Linked DNA regions of Diceros bicornis minor. The protein of the gene in region 1 purifies or fractionates together with the protein of each later gene. This does not show direct contact. Links are inferred from orthologs where the notes say so. Each region holds a gene or a part of one and is shown in the gene's direction. Other genes may lie near its edges.

Evidence for each region.
Region 2: the proteins of NAF1 (region 1) and NHP2 purify together in Homo sapiens (affinity purification with western blotting; 3 studies listed by BioGRID and IntAct, with this or other methods). This does not show direct contact. The link is inferred for Diceros bicornis minor from reciprocal best matches to the Homo sapiens genes NAF1 and NHP2.
Region 3: the proteins of NAF1 (region 1) and DKC1 purify together in Homo sapiens (co-immunoprecipitation; 7 studies listed by BioGRID and IntAct, counting the BioPlex papers as one, with this or other methods). This does not show direct contact. The link is inferred for Diceros bicornis minor from reciprocal best matches to the Homo sapiens genes NAF1 and DKC1.

Annotation. Positions count from the first base shown.
Region 1 is NC_080750.1:50,389,507-50,397,401, reverse strand, and holds the start of NAF1 (H/ACA ribonucleoprotein complex non-core subunit NAF1), read left to right. Parts: upstream 1-4,872; 5' UTR 4,873-5,020; coding exon 5,021-5,379; intron 5,380-7,895. UniProt on the Homo sapiens protein: RNA-binding protein required for the maturation of box H/ACA snoRNPs complex and ribosome biogenesis.
Region 2 is NC_080740.1:90,985,745-90,993,195, reverse strand, and holds the start of NHP2 (H/ACA ribonucleoprotein complex subunit 2), read left to right. Parts: upstream 1-4,401; 5' UTR 4,402-4,485; coding exon 4,486-4,645; intron 4,646-4,734; coding exon 4,735-4,804; intron 4,805-7,149; coding exon 7,150-7,255; intron 7,256-7,451. UniProt on the Homo sapiens protein: Required for ribosome biogenesis and telomere maintenance. Part of the H/ACA small nucleolar ribonucleoprotein (H/ACA snoRNP) complex, which catalyzes pseudouridylation of rRNA.
Region 3 is NC_080781.1:139,220,963-139,228,618, reverse strand, and holds the start of DKC1 (H/ACA ribonucleoprotein complex subunit DKC1), read left to right. Parts: upstream 1-4,592; 5' UTR 4,593-4,674; coding exon 4,675-4,690; intron 4,691-5,461; coding exon 5,462-5,529; intron 5,530-5,942; coding exon 5,943-6,029; intron 6,030-7,656.

The DNA of each region.
Region 1 (7,895 bases):
AAAATAAAACTAAGAAAACAAAAATAAAGCAGAAAGGGGAGAAAAATAAGAATGGTACCACAAATGCCCAAAGTGGAGGGAGTGGTAAATAGTGCTTCTAATCATTACGTGACAAATATTAGAAAGTATTCTCATTCCCATTTAACAAGGGCATTGTAGGCTTCTAACTGAACTGTACATGTGTCAATTCATGTCTTTTTAAACAGTGAAATAAACTAAGATCAACCAGTGTGCCATCTATAAAAATTCCAGAATTCAAAAAAATTGGAAACAAAAAACAAAGACTATGAAATGACATTTCTAGGAAAGGCTTTAGGTTTCAACTTATTTGTGTTCCTTTTTTTTGCCACTAAATCCTTTCTTCAGATGAAATCTTACTTGAAATCCAACATGTGTACGGGATCTGGAATGCCAATCGCCCCATTCCCTAACCCTCACCTTGACTGGCTCCTAATGCACTCTGAAGGGTCTATGGAGCTCTGCTCTGGTGATCCTTCATCAATTAAAATTGATATTTTATATTGTGAATTCTACGAGCTCTAGGGCCTTTTCCGTTTTGTTTACCACTTTATTCCCAACACCTGACACAGCACCTGACACAAAGTTGGTACCTGGTGAATATTTATTGAATGAATGAGTGAAAGAATATCAGACAGAGAAAATTAAGTGACTTGGACTAAGTCACACAGCATTGATGAGGCTGAGATTTAGTACATAGTAAGTGACTGGGTAGTGGGTGGCATTACCAGGATAGGAGATAAAGGAGGGGAAGTATGGGGAAAAGGATGCTGAGATCCGTTTTGGATTTGACAGTTTGAGGTACTTGAGGGGCATCCAAGTAGAAGCATCAACAGACAACGAGCTAGTCAGTCTACTCACCTTAGACTCAACGGTCCAGCACTTCAGCTCCTCTTGGAAAAGGCTTTCATTCTTTTTACTTTCCAGCACTATACCAGTCCTGGGATGTTGCCAATTCTCACATGGCCACTAGGGCAGAGTTTCTTAAACTTTCAAGTGCACGCAAATCACATGGGGAATCTTGTTAAAATGCAGATTCTGATTCAGAAAGTAGGGCCTGAACTTCTGCATTTTTAACAAGTTTCCACCTGGTGCATAAGCTGCTCGTCCAGCACATTTTGAGTAGCAAGACACTGGAAATCAGTGCAAACGGCAGTAAGAGTTAGTTAGCAGCTGGTTTTTTCTTTTTGTAAAATTTCACAATCTTTATAATAAGTAGAGACTGGCGAACTTGTAAAATTCTATTTGTTTTTAAACAAATTTCTTCTTATAAATGTTTTTGCATTTTAAAGAATATATTTAGGTTTTTTACTTGTTTGCTTGCTTTGAAATGTAATATGGCTTTTAATTAATAATTTAATTCAAGACAAACTCTCGATTTTAATAGTGATCCTATAAACTATTTATTCTTTCAATAAGTTATTTTAGCTTTTAGCCCTAAGGGAAAGACTTCAGGCTAAGTTTAGCAGCTGTTAGAAATAATGCAGCAGAGAGGCAGGCTCTGGAAGTAGGTAAATTCAAGACATTTTGAAACATTCAAGCACTTAGAAAAAGTATCAGTTGCAAAATAGCAACCTAGTTAAAGCTAGGCAGAGGTATAGCTATTCTTGTCCTGAAGTACAGAGACCATCTCCACCCCCAAAACAAAGAGATTTTTATTGGAAACCAGTAGCATTTCTTAGGAATCATTAGATTCATTTAAATTGAAGGAATAACTTAGGTATCATCTGTACCTTTGTCTGTAATCATTTCTCCTTTACCTTGATTGTTTCATAAAGCTTTATTGTTTTCTCTTTTTTGTTTCATTCTTCCATTCGAAAAAATTTTTAGGATTTGTTACGGTTCTGGACACTGAGAGACAGCTGTGAGTTAGACAAAGATCTTGGGCTCATGAGACTTAATTTTATGGGAAAACAGAGACAATAAAGAAGTAAATAAATATAATTTCATGTGAAGATATGTACAGTCATGTGTTGCTTAACAATGGGGATATGTTCTAAGAAATGAGTCATTAGGTGATTTTGTCATGTGAACATCATAGAGTATACTTACACAAACCTAGATGGTGTAGCCTACTACACACCTAGGCTATATGGTACTAATCTTACGGGACCACCTTGGTATACACGGGCTATTGTTGACCAAAACTTCGTTATGTGGTGCATGGCTATACGATAAAAAAAAAAAAAAAGGAATGAGATAGAGAGTGACTGGTATTAGGGGATACTCTTAGATTGGGTGGTCTGGAAAGTTCTATCTTGGGTGTTATATCTGAGTACAGACATGAGTAAAATAAGGAAATGAACCATATTAATTTGAAAAGAAGAGAGAACAACAAAGTGAAAATGCCATATGTAAAGAATGCACTTGGTGTGTTGAAGAGGGATCACGAAGACCAGTGAGATGAATGGCCGGAGGGAAGGGAAAGTAGTAGGAGATGGATATGTGGGCAGCCAGATCAGGCAGAGCTTTGAAAACCAAAGCCGGGAGTCTGGATTTTATTCTAAGCGTGATCGCAAATATTTAGGGTTTTAATCAGTAAATTACATGATCTTATTTATTCTTCCTTATGAAGTTCTCCTATTTTCTCAGATTAACAAATTCATGGTTCTCTTTAAAGGCCCAGCTCAAATGTCATACTCATTGTAAAACTTGCCTTAACTTTCCCAGTATTCTCTCTCTGTGTTCCCATTTGCACATCCCTCTTCTATAGTACATGCTTCTACTATCAAACATTTCTCTACTCAAGTACTTATCACATTTCCAACTTGTCTTTCTTCTAAACTGTTAGCTCCCTAAGGGCAAGGACTGTGTTTTATTCACTTTCCTGTATGCCCAGTTCACAGGCACACCATTAAAGTAATGGATGAATTCAATCATTACTCTACAATAAGGAACGTGCTCTTTGAAGATAAAAATTAATGCCTCCCTTCTTGTGATGCCAGATAAGTCTCCCTTCCCGCAGCACCAGCATCATGTCAACCAACTGAGTACATGCTAATCTAAAAAAAAATATTTTCTTGATACCTTGAATCATATCCCTGTCATGCTTGATGTATGTTCCTTGTTCTGAAATGGTACATAAACTGTGCCAAAAACCATGCTTCTCCAAAGCATTTTCTTCCTTGGTGGAGGCTAGGTCTTAACCCAGGCTAGTCCTCAGCTTGGCTCAAATAGAACTCTCTTCTATTTCTTACTAAAGATTGATTATTGATTATTTGCATTGACAAACAACATTATAAACTCGTTATCTTGTTCCAACTTCTCCATATTTACTGGTAATACCAGCTTCTTTCTAGTTTCCTTGGTTAGAAATTTTAGAGTACTTTAACTCTTCTTCTGATGTTGGGGATTTCCTTTACTCTATTTCACTGATTCTAGCCCTGGTTCAGACTTTCATCACTTGATTCCTGGAAAAACGCAACGGACTTTTGGCTGGCTGGAGGGTCATTCTGACTCAAATTTCTTCTCTTCTCAAATTCATACTGCATATCTCTGCAAGATCAATGTCACTAAAATATCACTTTATTCATCATTTCATGCGTTGTGCTACTTATCAAGTATCTTTGCACACTTATGTGTATGACACATGTCATTCTCTTGCATAAAACCTTAATTAAAGTTCACATGAACTAAATGAGATAATATTTTTATCTCCATTTTACAGATAAGGAAAACGAGATTTAGGTATGTTAGGCTGTCTGCCCAAACTCACCCATTACACCAACAAAGAAATGGTAGAGCTGAGATTTGGACACAGGTCTTTTTAGCTGGGAACACTGAGCTCTGCTTTATCATTGCATTAGCGAGTACTGTCTCAAGTTTAAATTCCTGCTTCTCTTTGGAGAATTTCCATGATACAGCCCATCAGTCTTACTTAACTTCTAACTACTGCTGAACCTGCATCTTCTACTCCACATTTCAAACATCTTTCTAGTTCTCTCCTGTGCGTTGACCTTTTTACTTCTATTAGATCGTAAGATCCTTGAAACCAGAGATTATGTGTTACTCTTGTCTTAAACTTCTATGAAGGTCTACTATTGTGGAGGGCTCACAATAAATTCGAAGGGAATAACTGATAAAATCCTTAGTACAGCCCTTGGTACATATATATGCTTAATAAAATGGTAACAATGAATATTATTTATTATTACTCGAGGGGCTGATGGGAGTAATAATAAATAAATTGAAGCTCTAATAGAAAACCAGAAAATTGACCCCTACCTTAATCCTAAGAACTTTCTGCTTGCCTTCCTTATGATCTAGAGCAATGGTTTCTCAGGCTAAGTTAGTACATTTTAGTCTCATCCCACCCTTTCTATGAAGCATCATCAACTGCAATATAGGTATCACCGTAACATCAACAAGCAGCAACACTCTGTCACCGCTACTGCTCTCTTTGAGAGTGCTTTGGAGGGAAAAAAATGGAACAGTAGTAGTAATTTTTTTGAGATGAATAGTCAACGTACTTTCTATCGATGAATTTAATTTCATTTAACTTTAAAGAAGTTTGCTAGAAGTGTCTGTTTTCAAGACTTCCTGGCTCAAGTTTCGGATGGACAGCGCCTCGCACAATCAGGCATCTCCTCAGTCCTACAATCTCTCCTTCACATCTTCTCATCGAACGAAATTTGCACAGATCCAGCAATAGGAAAGTCTAGCCTTCTGCCCTTGCAGTGTGAGCAGAAGTCCCGACGATGCAGTGAAAACGGCGGGTTTAGGGCCGCGGGAGAGCTAGTTTCCACAGGTCCTGCGGCTCCGCCCCGCCCCAGTGAGCGCAGTCGCGTCACGATACGTCATACGCTCTCCCGGAAGTGCCGCAGAGTAAACGGCGGGGGCGTGTCTGCAGACATCTCCGCGTGTAGTTACCAGAGAAACGCGGGAAGTCGGGCCCAGGCTCGGTTACCTCTGCCGCCAAGGTTGTTTGATCTTTTCGTGAGCGAGCTGCTAGCCCGTCCGAGGGTCCAGAACGGGAGCCTGACCGAGTGTCTGGCGTGACGCCATGGAAGTAGTGGAGGCCGCCGCTGCTCAGCTGGAAACTCTGAAATTCCACGGCGCCGGCTTTGGGGTGGGCCAAGGTCAGGAAGTGCCGTCTCCTGGCCCTATTCCTCTCCCGGAGCCACGGCAGCCACTACAGTCGGAGGAGGGGTCCCCGGACACTGGGCAGGCCGCGGAGGCTCAGCCTGCCGGGGGCCAGCCGCCTCCGCTCGCGCCGAGCCTTGCGGCCGGCGGGAACCTCGCGCCGCAGTCGCAGCTGGAACCTCCACCCGGAGGGAACTGCGTCACCGGCCCGGGCGCTGCGGAGCTGGCGCGGACCCCAGACTCCCCGGAGACCTCGGACTCGGATTCGGACTCGGACAGGTCGGGTGCTTGCCGGTCCCGGAGCTGTGGGTAGAGGGCCTGTGTAACCGGCGGGGGGAGCCGGGGCCTGGGGCGGAGAGGGTGTCCGCGTGGGCTCCGAAGGGAGGGGAGGTCGCTGAAGCTGAGGGCGCACGTGTTTACACGCACATCGGACCGCCCACTCCTCGCTGTTCGTGGCAGATCGCGTTGTGAATCTGAGCTCAATAGTCAGATCTCGCTTCTTCCCTAAATTTAGTAGTCTGGAAAGTCCTAGGTGTAGATCGTATCATTTTCAGTTGGAATACGGAAAACCTGAGGATATTGGATTATTTTCAGAACTACTCAGTTTGGCGTGTCCCTTTGTGGTTAGAGTTTTGTGTCAGATCCGACTTGTTTTCCCCATCAAGTTTAGTGAACCAGGTGAATTGACGATGAGTTAAAGGATATTCTGTGTTTCCAAATTGGCTCCTGAAAATTTTGTTAATTCGTAGACTCCTTCTGGAGAGCACGTGTTCGTGAAATTAGCGAACCATTGTTACTTAGTAGTAGTGTATGTTCTGCATAGGTTTTATAAGAGCTCCCCACCCCCATCCTGTGTCTTAAATATGAAACCTCTGGTGGGAAGGGACTTCAGCATGTAGGATGTTACTAAACCACACTGAACACTGTATACAAGTATTTGAGTGTGTTGTGTGGGATACTGAACAGGTGAACAAAACAGACAGGACCTCTGCCCTACATTCTAGTGAGATCTACAAAAAATAAGAGTGAACATATCAATCAATAAATTAGAGTTGGTGACAATTACCATGAAGGAACAAGCAAGGCACTGAGAAAGTAATAGGAAAGCCCAACCGTGTAGGCCCTTGCAGCCTTGTTAATGTTTTAATTCTAAGTGCTAGAGAAACTGTTGAATTTGAAGCAGAGAAATGGCATATTCAGGTTAACATTCTAATAAGCTTTGCTCTGTAGAGAAGGAATTGAACTGGATTGAAGAGGGAAAGCAGAGAAGCAAGAATGGAACAGGGGCTACTCTGGAAACAGTTGCAAAGGCGTTGCATTAGCCCATGATGTGACCATGGTTGTCTGGATTAAAAATTTTGAAGTCACCCTGATCAGGCTTGCTAATAGATGTGGCAGTGGGCTAGACAGAGACATCAGTTGAGTGGATGGTGGTGCTGTTTCCTGAGACAAGGAGTAATTTTTCTCTGATGGGAGCTGGAGACCAATAGGAATGTTAAATTTGGACCGTTAGTTTGAGATTTCTCTAACAGCCAATTGGTGATGTCAGGTAGGCAGTAGGGTAATGAGTTTAGACTTCAGAGGGCAATTCTGAACTGGAGAAGTAAATTTGAGCATTGTCAGATTACAAATAAAACTTACTCTAACTTTTTGTTATGGATGTTTTCAAACTTGTAAAAAGTAGAGAGAGTAATATAATGAATGTGTGTATACTCATCACCAAACTTAACAGTTTCCAATATTTTGCTGATCTTGTTTTATTTAACTTTTCTTTTTTTTTAATGTGATAGTTTTAAAACATCTCAGACAATATGCCACTTTACCTGTAAATTCTTTACTATGCATTTCTAACAGATAAAATACTTTTTACATAACCACCATATCATTATCAACCATAGTAGAATTAATCCTAATTCTTTAATATTTCCTAATAGTCTGTATTCAGATTTTTCTGGTTGTTTGAAGGGTGTCATTTAACAGTTGGTTTATTTGAATTAGAATTCAAACAAGATTCAAACAGTGCATTTGGCTGTTACATCATTTAAGTCTCTTTTAAGTCAACGTTGGATTTAAAGCTTCAAAGGCAGAAGTTACATGAGGGTGGAATACCACTGTAACATAGTGGATGCCAAAAATGGAAGTTGCTTTTTTTCTTTTTTTTTTTTTTTTTTTGGTGAGGAAGATCAGCCTTGAGCTAACATCTGTTGTCAGTCCTCCTCTTTTTGCCTAGGAAGACCAGCCCTGGGCTAACATCCGTGCCCATCTTCCTCTACTTTATATGTGGGATGCTGCCACAGCATGGCTTGATAAGCGGTGCGTAGGTCTGTGCCTGGGATCCGAACTTGGGAACCCCGGGCTGCCAAAGCAGCACGTGAACTTAACCACTTTGCCACCGGGCTGGCCCCCAAAAAATGAAAGTTTTTTTGAGGAAGTGATTGGGGAATCATGTCTGATGTTGCTGAGAAGTAAGATGACAGAAAGGTGTCTGCTGGACTTAGCAACATGGCGATTGTTGCTGAACTTGTGAAGGGCAGATGGTGATGGAAGCCCATTTAGGGCTAGAGATTGAGTGAGAAATAAAGGGGAGAGACAGCATGTGTTAACAACTCTTTCAGGAAATGTTAAGGGGAGAAGTGAGGCCATAGCTGGAGGGATTTAACAGAGGCACTACAGAATTTTGGTATGCTGATGGGAATGATCTGGGGCAGGGGGAGAGATTCATAGTACAGTAATATTAGGAAGCAGTTCACTTGGAAATGGGATGGGTTCCTGAGCCAAGTGGTGAAATTGGCCTT
Region 2 (7,451 bases), on another chromosome or scaffold:
GCGCGCACCGACGCACTGCTTCGCCAGCCATGCTGAGGCCGCGTCCCACATACAGCAACTAGAAGGATGTGCAACTGTACAACTATACAACTAGTATACAACTATCTACTGGGGCTTTTGGGGGGAAAAAAAAGGAGAAGAATTGGCAATATATGTTAGCTCAGAGCTGGTCTTCCTCAGCAAAAATAGAGGAGGATTGGCATGGATGTTAGCTCAGGGCTGATCTTCCTCACAAAAAAAAAAAAAGATATATTGATGTCGAAATAAATTGCCAGAACAGTGTATTATTTAATAGTGTAAACAAACATATCTATATATATACACTTGCATATGCACACAAAAAACTTAATAGTGAATACATCTGGAGAGCTTAAATGAGGGGAATAGGGGTTAGAGAAGAAAGATGTTTAACTTTTCACTTTATACTCTTATGTACTATCTGAAAATTTTTTTAACATAAACATTATCATCTTTAAAATAATAAATTTTAAATTCCAAAGCCAAAACCCTAACCCTAAAGAAACCCGTCTTCCTGAAGTGCTGAGCTGGCTTTTCTAAGCTCTCAGCTTTGTGCAGAAAGGTGTGTCCCAAGCAGCTGTGACTGAGGAAGGGTCCATCCTCCAGAATCCCACTTGATGGTCCCTCTTTCCTCAGGCTTTGTCCTGAACTCTCAGGCCTCATTTCTGAGGAGACACCAATTGTCACTAAGGAAACCAGGCTGGGACGTAAGTTTCCATCGACCATCTTGACTAATACTGGTCATACTAACAGTGACATAACCGGCCTACAAAAAATTAAAGCAGATTTCCAATAAATTGCATAAACGATATATGGTTATTTATATATTTTTTTCTTCTACTTGAACTTCAGCTCCTAAAGTAAGCATCTATCTTGCTAAGTAAAAAGTCAATTAAAAAAGTCACCCTCAATTTAAAAATGGGCAAAGGATCTGAATAGATGTGTCTCCAAAGGTAGGCAAATAGCCAATAAGCACATGAAAAGTTGCTCAGGATCATTAGTCACAAGGGAAATGCAAATCAAAACCACAATGAGATACTACTTCACACCTCCTGGGATTACTATAACGAAGAAGTCAGAGAACAGCAAGTGTTGGTGAGCTTGTGGAGAAACTGGAGCCCTTGTTCACTGCTGTGGGAACGTAAAATGGAGAAGCCGCTGGGGAGAACAGCCTGGCGGTTCCCCAAAACACTCAACACAGAGTTGCCACGGACCCACCAGTTCTAGTTCTAGGGATCTACTCAAGAGGACTGAAAACATATGTCCACACGAAATCTTGTGCATGACTGTTCATAGCAGCACTATTCACAATGGCCAAAAGTTGGAAACAAACCAATCCACTGATGAATGGATAAAACGTGGACTATCCATACAATGGAATGTTATGTAATAACAGAGTAACGACACATGCTACAACATGGATGACCCTTGAGAACATCATGCTCAATGCAAGACGCCAGACACAAGGGCACATACTACACGATTCCATTTCTATGAAATGTCCAGAACAGGGAAATCTATAGAAACAGAAAATTAGAGGTTGCTTAGGGCTGGGAAGGATGAAGGGGTCAGAGGGTGATAGCTAAAGGGTGCAGGGATTCTCTTTGACATGAGAAAATGTCCTCAAATTGACTGTGGTGATGGCTGCACAACTCAGTGAAGCTACTAAAACCATTGCATTGTATACTTTGAACAGGAAAATTATATGGTATGTGAATTATACTGCAATTTAAAAAAAAATCATCCTCTCCAACTTTTAAAAGATGGTGCCTTAGTCCATCTAGGTCTAACTTTCTCACTTTATAGATGAGGCACTGAAGCCTAGAGAGGTTAAATGACTTACCCAAAGCCATTTGTCACTTAGAGCCCTGGTCTACTGTTCATTAGCCATTATGGTTTCACCCACTTTACACTGCTTCAAGCGAGTTCCAGTGGCCATTTGAATAAAATCAGTAAAATCACACAAACCACCTTGGATCCAGCACAGAGCTCTGGGCCTGTTTTAGAAATACACAATATGGTTTACTGAGGACCTGTTTGTTCTTAGCACTTCATTGTCTCACAGCTCAAAAAGCTGACACTCATGACCCAGCCAGGCCGAGGTTCCAGCACTTTCACTACTGAGCCACATCTCATATCCTTTGAGCTAAAGTCTATCGCCAAGTCACAGAGTATGAGCAGAGTGAGGGTGTGAAGACAAATGGATCTGGGTTGAAATCCAGCTTTGTGTGAACTGGATGGAGCCATTCCCTTTTATGGGCTTTAGGAAATTATGAGTAATATAGATACTCTTTGCGAGAGAGATTACATGTAATGTGCTTGGCACGTAAATGTTAACTTCCTCCTTCCATATAAGAACTGAGAGGCCTTAGTGACGGAGACCTCGGTGAGGTCAGTCAGGCACATTTGCTGGAATTTGCTTGAATTGGGTTTCCCAGGGATGAAATTCTCCATTACTCGGCTGGACAGAGTTCATCATGTCCCATGCACACATTTGGCAGTGCCTCTCCCCATTGTGATCCTGACACAGTGTCATTCATCCTACAAGCTGAAAACGTTCACAGGAACGCCACTCAGAAAGAGGAACAGAAAACCACCCTGCAGAGCCCTGCTAGCTGTGTGCTCAGAGGAGCTCTGCTCTCACAGGCTCACTGCCCCTTGGGGACGGCTTCCCAGGGAGGGCCAGAATGGCTACTAAGGAACCTGGGATGAGGGAGAAGTGGGGGATAGAGCAAAGTCATTTGCATTAAGGTAAAGCTGACAGTAGTCACCAGTCCTAAAACTCAGGAAGGGGCTATCTTTTCTTAAAGAAATTCCAAAATGAAAACATTTAAAAGGTCAATTTTTTGTTATATTGTGCAAACTTTGTTTACTTTCAAATTATTTTTTATTGCTTATATAATGTATTTACTTTCTTTCTTTTTTTTGGCAGGGTAAGGAAGATTGGCCCTGAGCTAACATCTGTGCCCATCTTCCTCTATTTTGTATATGGGATGCCACCACAGCATGGCTTGATGAGTGGTGCATAGGTCTGCGACCGGGATCCAAACCTTCGAACCCCAGGCCGCCAAAGCAGAGCGCACAAACTTAACCACTACACTGTGGGGCCAGCCCTATAAATAATGTATTTTCATTGTTCAATATTTTTCTCTTTGTGAAAATTATTTTTCTTATTAAAATATTAAATTAAAAACCTATTTGTTTTTTACTTAATGACTTTGCACTTGGTTACAGGGCCACTTTTTAAGTTGGCTTAACTGACCTGCACTGCTATGGCCACCTGTAGGCTTCTAAAGTTCCACTGACTGGCCTGTTCCACCACCACAAAAATAGCAGGCCTATCACTGCATAATCAAAGGCAATTAATTTGCAGCAATTATCTAATTGATATTCACCCAGTGTTCCAAGACGCAGTGGAAGAAGTAAGTTGGAGATACAAAATCCACCAGTCTAGGCCTACTCCCCTCTCCAGCGTCACCGTCCACTAAGCCTTTACAGATAACTTTACACTGGGCGCCTACTCAGAGTCCCGCGCTCCCCCGCCCAAGTCGCAGCCCCAGTGTGTTCCCCACAGTGTTCACGGCTGCACTCATGCTGTCTGCCCCTCAGCTCAGCTAGCTGTCTCCGCGATGCCTCTCGTGTGTGTGATGCCAGGCGGTGTAGGAACCACGAGGAAAACAGAGTTAGGGGATGCGGTGGGGGGGGGGGACTGCAATTTTAGATCAGGTGGTCCGGGGAACCTTTCCCGTGGGTAACATTTGAGCAGACCCCTGCGGGAAGAAGAGGAGTGAGGCACGGGCTTTCTGGGGAAAGGCGGTCCAGACTCCGGCGCTCAGGGAGTGGGGCCATCCCTTGCCGTAAAAGGGAAAGCAGAGTGTGAGAAACTGTGCTAGAACGAAGAACCCTTAGCAGCGTCAGGGTTTACCTTAACCTTGGCACCTAGGGCACACCACCCAGGACCAAATGAGGATCAGACTCTAAGGTGGCGTGGAATCCCACCGAGCAGACTGCCCCTTCCTCTACTCGGGTCCCAGATCCCGCCGTCAGGCAAGGATCGCGTTCCCTTAGTCGTGGTCATGCCCCAAAAACACTGCCTCCTCCGCCCGCTCCTGTAGGTACAGGTTACCGGGGCTCTCAGATCCGCCTAAGCCGCTGTCCTAGCCCCGCCTCCTTCTGGCCCCGCCTCCCTCCGGGCTCCGCCCCCTCGCCTCGGAGTCCCTCGGCCCCGCCCCTAATCCGCTTCGCCCCGCCTCTCTGTGGGGGGAGTGGCCCCGCCCCTACGGCCGAGACTCCGCCCCCCTCAGCTCCCTCTTTAAGGAGCGGAGCGTCCACAATTGGTCGGAGTCTGAGACCTGGTCTCCTGGTTGGTTGTAGTATACGGCCGATTCTCCGCAGAGGGGATGACCCGGAAGTGATTCCTCCGCCGCGTGGACTCGTCGCCGGGGGACTGTTGCCGCGGCAGCTGTGATGACCAAGATAAAGGCCGATCCGGACGGGCCGGAGGCTCAGGCCGAGGCGTGCTGCGGGGAGCGCACTTACCACGAGCTGCTGGTGAACCTGAACCCCATCGCGCAGCCCCTGGCTTCTCGCCGCCTCACGCGGAAGCTCTACAAATGCATCAAGAAAGGTGTGGCGGCGCCGGCCGGCCAGTCTGGGGGCGCGGGGGGCGCGGGGGCGGGGGGCCCAGGGCCCCGACTGATTCTTCTGTTGTTTCAGCCGTGAAGCAGAAGCAGATTCGACGCGGGGTGAAGGAGGTCCAGAAATTTATCAATAAGGGCGAGAAAGGGTAAGAACGCTCCCGCCGGACTTTGCATTTCTAAACGGTAACGAGGGTAGTAGTGCTCGGTACAAGTGCTCTGACTCAGCCCCGCGTGCGGAAGATAAGCAAGCAGTTGGTGAATTCCCTTCAGTACAGCTACCGATACATCACTTAGACGAGCTCAGAGGGACACCATGGGGCACGTGAATTCCATGGGAAGCGACTTGTATACACCACTCACTTAGGGTAGACCCCAGCTTCATTCACTCAGCGACTATCTATCGAGTGTCTGTTTTTTTTCCGGCACTGTGCTATCTGGAGACAATGACATTAATCAAATAATCAGACGCACATTTACAAGTTGTGCGATAGGTAACTATGAACGAAAAGTACAGGGTGCAGTGAGAATGACTTCGTTCCCCCTCGTCTTTCTTTTCTGGCATTTATCAGAATCTGAAACTTATTTGCATTTTTATTCCCTGTTTCTCCCACTCAGGCCAAAGGCCGTAAGCTCTTTGAGAACAGGATAAAGCCTCTCACTGCTTTCTCCCCTGAAGTGTCTGGTACACTGAGGTGCCCAAGAGATAAATAATGCTGGGGGATTTGATGCTCAGTAGGGACCTACGCGGGGGTAGCTGAGGTGTGAAGATATAGGGATTAGTTTTGGGGGTTCTGCAAGGAAGATGGGTACCAGGGCACGAGAAAGAGTAGTGGTGGGCAGAAGTGCTACCTTCTCATGGGGCTTTGTAAGCTTGTGGTAAGTATAGTTTAGTTTTTGGACTCAGCTTTGAGAGGCCATTGAGAGTTAAAGCCAGGATGTGACATAATTATGTTTACCCCTTAAGAAGATTTTTTTGGCAACTTAAGAAGGATCAGAGATGCAAGAGTAGACTTGAGGAAGTTGAAACAGGAGGCTGCTCTAGTGTACGTGACGGCAGTTTGGATTAGGTTGGTGATGGCAGATGGAGAGAACTGAAGTGGATGGATCTGAGAGGACTTGCCGACGTAGAATCAGGAGGTATGGATTCCAGCTGAATGGACAGAGGGCCTGCTTACTGAGATACTGGACAGTGGAGGGGGGGCCGGGAAGATCCCGAGTTTGGTTTTAGACAAGTTGGGGTTTTTTCTTTTTGTGCTGAGGAAGACTGCCCGGAGCTAACATCTCTGCCCATTGTCCTCTATTTTCTATGTGGGATGCTGCCACAGCATAACTTGATGAGTGGTGCGTAGGTCCGTGCCCAGGATTCCCACCTGTGAACCCTAGGCCACTGAAGTGCGTGAACTTAACCACTATGCCACCGGGCTGGCCCCTTAGACAAGTTTTTGAGGCACCTTTTAGACACGTGACCCCTCTCCCCACCAGAACCATCAAATAGGCAAATGGCTGTATGGGTCTGGAGCTTGGAAGAGAGAGGGCCAGGCTGGAGAAACAGATTTGGCAGTTGTCAGCACATGCATGGCACTTGACGCCATGGCTGTGGCTGGGGTCAGCTGGGGAGAAGGTACTGAGAGGGCAGCCAAGGACCAGGCTGAAAGGAACACCAGCATTTAAAGTCTACTCAGAGGAAGAGGAGAGCCCATGAGGCAAAAGGAGAACCAGGAGAGAGTGGAAGCCGTGCTCTGAACCAAGAGCTCTTTCCTTGTGTTTGCCTATCTCCCCCCCGGAGAACAGACTCTTCCTCTGTCTTCAGGGCTCATGAGGCCCTTGCCCCAGAGCCCTAGCACCTTGCCAGCTAGAAGCCCTAGCTAAGGATTCTCTGGCAAACTTTCATTGGTTCCCTGTCACTCTTGGGACTGAGCCCATGCTTCCTAGGCTGGCACTCAGGGTCTTTGGGTGTGGTCCCTGCCAATCTCTCTAGCCCTCTCTGCCCTGGTCCCTATCCTGGATTCCAAAGCCATCCCAGGCTCCTAATAGCCAGCCCCTGTGCATCTGGTGCCATTCTGATTCTCTCAGCCTTAAATGCTTTCCCCGCCCTCAGCCCTTCCGTGGGCTGCCTGTCAGAAATTCATCATTCAGCTTTCTGTTCAAGTGTTGCCTCCTGAATCCTTTTTTGACTCTCCAAGAAGAGCTGAGCTCTTGCTCCTTGGCGTCCCTCCCATACCTCATCTGTCCCAGTGCAATACCACTTGTCAAACTTGGTGGCATTTACTTGTTGCAAAGAAATAGAGATCAGCTCCCCAGAGGCGTGCACTCACCAAACACAAATCTGCAAGCACTTTCAGAGGTTGAGAGGCCCGTATGAATAACTGGGCTTCTTGAGGGCAAGGGCCATCTTATCCGTCTCTGCACCCCCAAGGCCCAGTCCAGAGGTAGCACCTACAGCTGAAAGAGGGAATGAGCAAGCTAGAAACAACGTTGTTTCTCGTTTCAGGATCATGGTTTTGGCAGGAGACACGCTGCCCATTGAGGTGTACTGCCATCTCCCGGTGATGTGTGAGGACCGGAACTTGCCCTACGTCTATATCCCCTCTAAGACGGTGAGGAGCACAGGAGCCCCTGACCTGGGTCAGCACTAGAGGATGGGGTCTGGGATTGGGTCTGTGGAACAGGCCATCATGGGAAAGAGCCCAAGCTTTTGAGTTAAGACAGGCCTGGATGGATTCTTGGCTCTGCTCCTTCCTAGTTGGGGAACTGCAGATAAAGTTCCTTCTCTGCACCTTGGTTTCCTTGTAA
Region 3 (7,656 bases), on another chromosome or scaffold:
ATATCTGCTCTCACTACTCTTATTCAATGTAGTATTGGAAGTTCTAGCCAGTGCAACAGGGCGAAAAAAAAAAAAAAGAAATAAATAAAAGGCACACAGATTGGGAAGGAAGAAATAAAACTGTCTCAATTTACAGATGATATAATTGTCCTCATAGAAAATCCCAAGGAATCTACAGAAAAAAGTCCCATATAATAAGTGAGTTTTACAAGGTTGCAGGACACAAGATCACCACATAAATCTCTTCACACAATTTCAAGGCTTATTATACAGCTACAGTAATCCAGACTGAGTGATATTGGTAGAGGAATAGATATAGATAAATGGAATGGAATGGAGAACCCAGAAATAGACCCACATAAATTCACCCAACTATTTTTTGACAAAGTTACCTTTTGTACCTTTGAATTGCAAAGGTACAAAAGCAATTCAATGGAGGAAGGATAGTCTTTTCAACAAATGGTGCTGAAGCAATTGGACATCCATAGCCCAAAAAAGAAAAAGAAAAAGAAATTTAACCCAAACCTCACACCTTATACAAAAAATTAACTCAAAGTGGATCATATATTTATATGCAAAATGTAAAACTATAAAACTCTTAGAAGACAACATAGGAGAAAATATTTGAGACCTAGGACCTGGTGATGAGTTCCTAGACATGATACCAAAAGCACAATCCATAGAAGAAAAAAATTGATAAACTGGGCTTCATAAAAATTAAAACTTTTGCTCTACAAAATACCTTGTTAAGAGTATAAAAAGACAAGCTACAGACTGGGAGAAAATGTTTGCAAATCGTATATCTGCCAAAGGACTCATAACAAGAATACACAAAGAACTCTCAAAACTCAATAGCAAAAAACAAACACTAATAATCCAATTAGAAAATGGGTAAAGGATATAAAGAGACATTTCACTGAAGAGGATATACAGATAGCAAATAAACTTGTGGAAAGATGTTCAGTATCATTAGCCATTAGGGCAATGCATATTAAAACCACAATGAGATACCATTACATACCTATCAGAATGGCTAAAATTTAAAAAATCAGCAGAATCCTCACATTGATTTCCTGACCCATGGAATGACCCAATCACGGCAGAAAGGCCCAAGTGGCAACCCCTGGAGCTCCACCTTCCTACCAGAGTACAAATCAAAAGAAATATCACATACTTAGGGGACAATGTCAGAAACCAGTTCCATCATCAAAGACTTGAAGAATGCCAGGAAGGAAATTCCTGTCACATTCCCATTTAATTCACCAGTTTGGCCTTCACAGCAGTTGGTTGGGTCTTGCTGAATCTGGCAGTTTTAAACCAGGGCTACAAAATTCTTTGACACTCCTCTCATTGAGAGGTGGGGTTGATGACTCCTCCCCTTGAACCTGGGTAGGCTTGTGACTGCTTCAACCATACAATACAGCAGAAATGATGCTATGAGACTTTCAAGGCCAAGCCACAAAAGATTATGCAGGTTTATGCCTTCTCCACTCTAACATTTGCTTTTGAGCCTTGAGCCACCAAGTATGGAGTCTGACTACTTTGAGGCTGCCATGCTGTAAGGAAGTCCAAGCCACGTGGAGAGGCCGTATGTAAGCAGGTGCTCCTGTCCAGTGAAACTCAGCCTTTCAGCTGAATTCTCAGCATAATCAGAATCTGTCAGCATAATAAAATGGTTGTTTAATGACACTAAGTTTGGGAATGTTTTGTTATTCAGCTGACAGATTACGTCAAGAAATTCCAACAGGGCACAGTGAGAATGTCTTCTCTCTGCTCCATAATACCTGTGGTCTTAGCTGAGATGATTCAATGGCTGGGGGTGACCAGATGGCTGAAGGCTATAATCTTATGGAAGCTTCCTCACTCGTATGCCTGTTGCCTGTACTAGGATGCCTATTCTGGCTATTTCATATGAGTGGAATCATACAATATTTGTCCCTGTGTGTCTGGCTTATTTCATTTAGCATGATGTTTTCAAGGTTCATCCATGTTGTAGCATGTATCAGTACTTCATTCTTTTTTGTGACTGAATAATATTCCATTGTATGGCTATACCACATTTTGTTTGTCCCTTCATCTTTAGATGGACATTTGGGTTGTCTCTGCCTTTTGGCTATTGTGAATAATGCTGCTATGAATATACGTGTACAAGCATCTGTTTAAACATCTATTTTCAATTTTCTTGGGTATATACACCTAGGAGTGGAATTGCTGAGTCATATGGCAACTCTATATTTAACCTTTTGAGGAACTGCCAGACTGTTTTCCCCAGAAGCTGTACCATTGTACTTGATGGTGGAGTGCTGCTGCTCATGCCTGACTTGATAACTTGGTCAGTCAAACAATACCCAGTTCATGATGTGTAGCTCAGTTCTTAAGATCATTTGTATCACATAGTCATTCAGTTTCAGTAAAGGGCTAAAGCAAGTCAGGGGCTTTTCCTCCCAGCAAATTGTGTGTGTGTGTGTGTGTGTGTGTGTGTGTGTGTGTGTGTGTGTAGGTCTTAGCTTTATTTTTATCTCCAATTCCAGAGGCCTCAGCTGTGATTCTCTTATCTAGGTTTGGAAAAGGCTCTGTGTACCATCCTAATGGGTATGCCACCTCCAGAAAGAGGCCCACTAAGCATCGTGCTTCTTTCTTAGGAGGAGTGGGTTCAAGGTACAGCAACTTGGTCTTCTCTTCTGTCTGTCTGTCTTTGCCCTTCTCATCCAAGGACAATTGTCATTGGATTTGGGGTCCACCTGATGATCTCATGTCGAGATCCTTAACTTAATTACATCTACAAAGATCCTTTTTCCAAACAAGGTCACATTCCTAGGGTCCAGGGGTTAGGACATATGTTTTGGTGAGGAAGATTGGTTCTGAGCTAACATCTGTTGCCAATCTTCCTCTTTTTGTATGTGGGAGGCTGACACAGCAGGGCTTGATGTATGTCCCCACCCAGGATCCAAACCCACGAACCCCGGGCTGCCAAAGCAGAGCTCACAAACTTAACCACTATGCCAACAGGCCAGTTGGGGGGGCTACTCTTTACTCCACTACAGATGGGAAGCCACTGAAGGGCTTTGAGCAGAGGAGGAACATTACAGTTTAATGGCTCTTTCCAGCTGCTGTGTCGAGAAGACACTACAGTTAGAAAAAGTAGAAGCAGGGGAAACAGCAGATGGCCACTGGAAAAATCTAGGAGAGCCATAATGATGGCATGGACTACAGTGACAGCAGTGAGGGTAGTGAAAAACCATCAGATTCTGGATTTCTTTTGAAAGCAAAGCTGACAGGCTTTGCTAACAGATTGGATGAGGAGTATTGGAGAAAGATGAAGCCTATATGAGTACTATTGATGAATACCTCAAAATTATTCAGCCAAATATGTACCAATGAAGCATTATAAAATAATGGGGGAAGTAATGAACTCCAGATGGATTGGTTGATACTGGCGATTTTGGTTATCTACAAAATGTCAGTTTAGATGATTATTGCCTTGGCATACACCAAAATAAATTCTAGATAGAATAAAAAAGCTAAATAAGGAAAAACCAATCATCTATTTTAACCCCAGTAAAATAAAACTGAAAAATTTCTAATTTTTGGATGGCAAAGGAGGAACGGAAGAAAAGCAAAGTCATTGGAAAAGATAACGGCAAAAGATTCCATTTACAATCGCAATAAAGAATTAAGTAACTAGGGATTAATCAAGTCCACCGAGGCTAGGTTAGGAGCCCCCGCTTGAGAGAGAGAAGAGTGAGAAGAGCACCAAAGACAGAAGGGAAGAGGGCTTGAACCAACAGCTGCTACTTCCTGGCTGTCCAATACTGCAGCCACTAGCTAACTGTGACTATTGAGCTCTTGACATGGAGCCCCGTCGTGGAGTTCAAAGCGAGGTGCGCTGTAAGTGTAAAACACACACAGGAAAGACTTGGTACGAAAGAAAAAGAATGTAAAATATCCCATTCATAATGGTGTATAATGGTCGTGTTGAAATGTGTTGAAATGGTAATATTTCGGATCGGTGGGTTAAATAAAATTCATTATTAAAATCATTTTCATCTTTTTCTTTTAACTTTTTTTCCACGTGGCTGCTGGAAAATTGAAAAGCCCACAAGTGGCTCGCACTCTATTCCTATCGGCCAGCGCCGCTCTAGCTGGATGGGAACTGCAAGCAGCAGAGTGCTTTCAACTTCTCTGTGCCTCGACAGCTTAATTTTTCAATCGGGACTGATCCGACACCAACCTTCAACGGTCGGCGAGAGGAAGCAACGAGCTACTGCTAACAGAGCGCTCAGCCAAGCGTCTAAGTGCCCAAGACGGGCTTAAACGCAGCTAAGGTGTGCGAACTGCGGCCGGGGCCACGCCCACAGGCTACGGGCAGCAGGGGCGGCCTGCGCATGCGCTCCCAGGCTGAGCCGCTGGGGGCGGGGACGCGGCACAATGCGCACGCGCGTTCGCACAACCTCAGGGGCCCAGCCAGCCAATGAGATTGTGCGTGCGCGCTTCGGCCTCTGACCGCCCCCCCACCCCCGCAGCCTGGCCCCGCCCCCCCCCGCCCCCCCCGTGCGGTACGCACAGGGTGGCGCACAGGTGGGCGGGGCCTAGCGGCGTGGCCTGACGGCGGCGGGAGTCTGTGGTCGCTCTCTCGGCCGTGGCCCACGCGGCTGGCTCGCTCTGCGGGGCAACATGGCGGACACGGAAGGTAAGGGTCGTTCCCTCGCGGGTGGCCGGGTCAAGTGCCCCGGGCTGGAACCAGCTCCGCAGGCTGAGAGAGCCGGGAGTGGTGGGGTATGGCGTCGGGTCCCGAGTTCTCCGCTAGCTCCAGCCGCCGGGCCGACCCCCTCGCCGCTGGGCCTCTTGCCGCCCTTGCCTCTTGGCCCTGGCTCCACGGGGGAGGGCAAGAGAGCGAGAAGCCCTGGCGGTGAAGTGGCGCCGCGAGGCCGGGATCTCCCGCGGATGGCACAGCCCCCTTAGGGCCCTGGTCGTCGTCGGCCGTGCCGGCGACCTCGCGGTGGCGGGAGACCTGGTAGTATCTGTGCCGCCGCCGCCAGCCCGGACGCCGCAGTCAGCGCCAGGCGATGAGGGGAGGAAAGAATGGTGGGAACAGGCGGGAAAAAAAGGGGCGAGGGGCGCGGGCGTAGCTCTGAGTCGTAAGCAAGTTCTAGACGCCAAAAGCTCTGGGGGATAGTTGAGCACTCATTTATGGAACTTTCTGGCCCACGGCTCGAGCGCTTCTGCAGCACGTTTAAGCCCCGCCAGGGCCACGTGGTGAACCGGAATGGAAGCCGACACGTGCGACTGCTTGCAGTAGCTAACCGAGCCATGCAACCCACGCGTTTGGTCTTACACACTTTGTTTTCTCTAGTAATTCTAGACCAAACATCCATTTTCTACCTGCCCTGATTTCATTTTCTAATTTAAACTTTGTTGCCTTTATTTTCGGGGAAAACTTCCAAATCTTGTGTTTTTTTAGTATTTATTTTGCCGAAAAAGCATAAGAAGAAAAAGGAGCGGAAGTCGTTACCAGAAGAAGATGTAGCAGTGAGTAGGAATACGTTTTACTTTGCTTGGACTAAAAAATGTTCCTTAGATAACAAATTACAGAAAAGAACTGCTTTTAAAGGTTTCTAAGGAATGGGCTGGAATTGGTTGGTTGTTGTGTAGAAACTGCACAACCCCAGCCAACTTAGAGTCTGTCCGGTCAGGTGTAGTTTGCTCTCTCACCTGTAGACCCACCATCCCTCTTGCTCTTTAAATAGCAGTACCTATCTTGGTGGTACTTCACTTACCATTTTAAGATCCTAGTTCATTTCTTCTCTTTCCCATGGAGGTTCCAGGGAAGAAGCATAGACTACTTTGTTTTCTGTTTTAAAGGCATAGACTTCTGTGGTAGTAATGGAATTGTTCAAAATCAGATGGGAAGTCTAATAGGGTGTATTTTTGTCCTGTGCAAGGAAATACAGCATGCTGAAGAATTTCTTATCAAACCTGAATCCAAAGTGGCTCAATTGGACACATCTCAGTGGCCCCTGTTGCTAAAGGTATGTGGTTAAGATTATGCATCAGGTCAGTGCCTGGCTTTTACATTATGTCTAAGTGTTAAATAGTTAAGAGTGCTTAATGCCAGCATTGTTGACTTAGGAAATACTATATGATACAGTCTAAAGCAGTGTTCCTCAAGGTGTCTGGGATGAAGGACCAGGTTATTTTTTTTTCTTTTTCAATGGATCTAACACTGTTGTAGAATACAGTTAAGATGTCGCAGCAACGTCAAAGTGCTATCAAAGTTCATAAACAATTATTTCTTGGTTTCTGTACCTAACTCCACCTCACAGACCTGTACCAGTTTGTGGGCCACACTTGGAATAGGACTGCTTTAATACTTGAGAGCATGGGCTTTGAAGCCAGACCAGTTTGAGTCAGGCAGTATGTGACCTTGGGCAGTCATTTAACCTCTCTGAGGCTGTTTGCTCATATCTTCTCTTAGGAAGGCAAGCTGAGGGCTGCAGGAGGTAATCCATGAAAGGTGTTTAGCCACAGTGCCTGGCATGTAACATGTCCCCTAGAAATTATTGACTGTTGATTGGGTTTTAAATAGGGTAGTCAGTAATGAGGTGAATTAGAAGTTTCGCAAACGACTTAATGGGCACCTGCTATGAGATTAGAAGGACAAGTTAGAGTAGAAAAAGTTATTGAGACACCCCTTGACAAAGTGTTTTAATAAACCAATGGATATGAGGTAAAAGAGTGAGATTTGCTTATATAATTCAACACAGTTGAGTTTCTGCTTGGCCAGACATGTCTGCCATTTAGATAGCATCTGCTTTTCTTTTTTTTTTTTAACTTATTTATTTTTAATTTTATTTATTTATTTGTCCCCCAAAGCCCCAGTAGATGGTTGCGTGTCATAGCTGCACATCCTTCTAGTTGCTGTATGTGGGACGCGGCCTCAGCATGGCCAGAGAAGTGTTGCGTTGGTGCTCGCCCGGGATCCGAACCCGGGCCGCCAGTAGCAGAGTGCACGCACTTAACCGCTAAGCCACAGGGCCGGCCCACATCTGCTTTTCTATTGTAGGCCCTGGGGATATGCTAGTGAACAAAATAGACAATGTCTTTACTGTCGTGAAACTTAAAATCTAGGAATGGGAGAGAGTTAAAAAATAATTGCTATTTGTGTGTAAGTACCATGATGAAACTAAACTGGGTGATAGAAAAGATGGGCTTCAATTGAGGGGAGATCTTTCAGACCAGTGGTGTCCAGCCTCAAGCCTTGGAAAGGAGGAGAATGAAAAGGAGCACAGATCGGAGCATCTGAAGCAAGAACAAGTTGGTCATGTTTGAGAAACATTGTTGCCAGTCCACCTCAGTTTGGTTATCTTGTCCCTGAGAAAATCAAAGCTAGTCCATATTTTATTCATAAGGCCGCACAGTGAAGCCTAGTCTGTTCTGTAGTACCCCAAGAAGTCTCTTTCTAGAGGAGTGATCAAATTTGTCTTATTCTTACTCATAATGGGTAATTTTTCCTGAATATAAGGAGGCTTAACAGTGTCACAGCAGATAATTAAAATATAGGAGCAAAATCCAAGTTTATGAACTTGAAGGGTAACCATATCATGGTTGATGGTAGTGCAGACTCTTATTTTATGTATGTTAATGGTTTATTAAGTT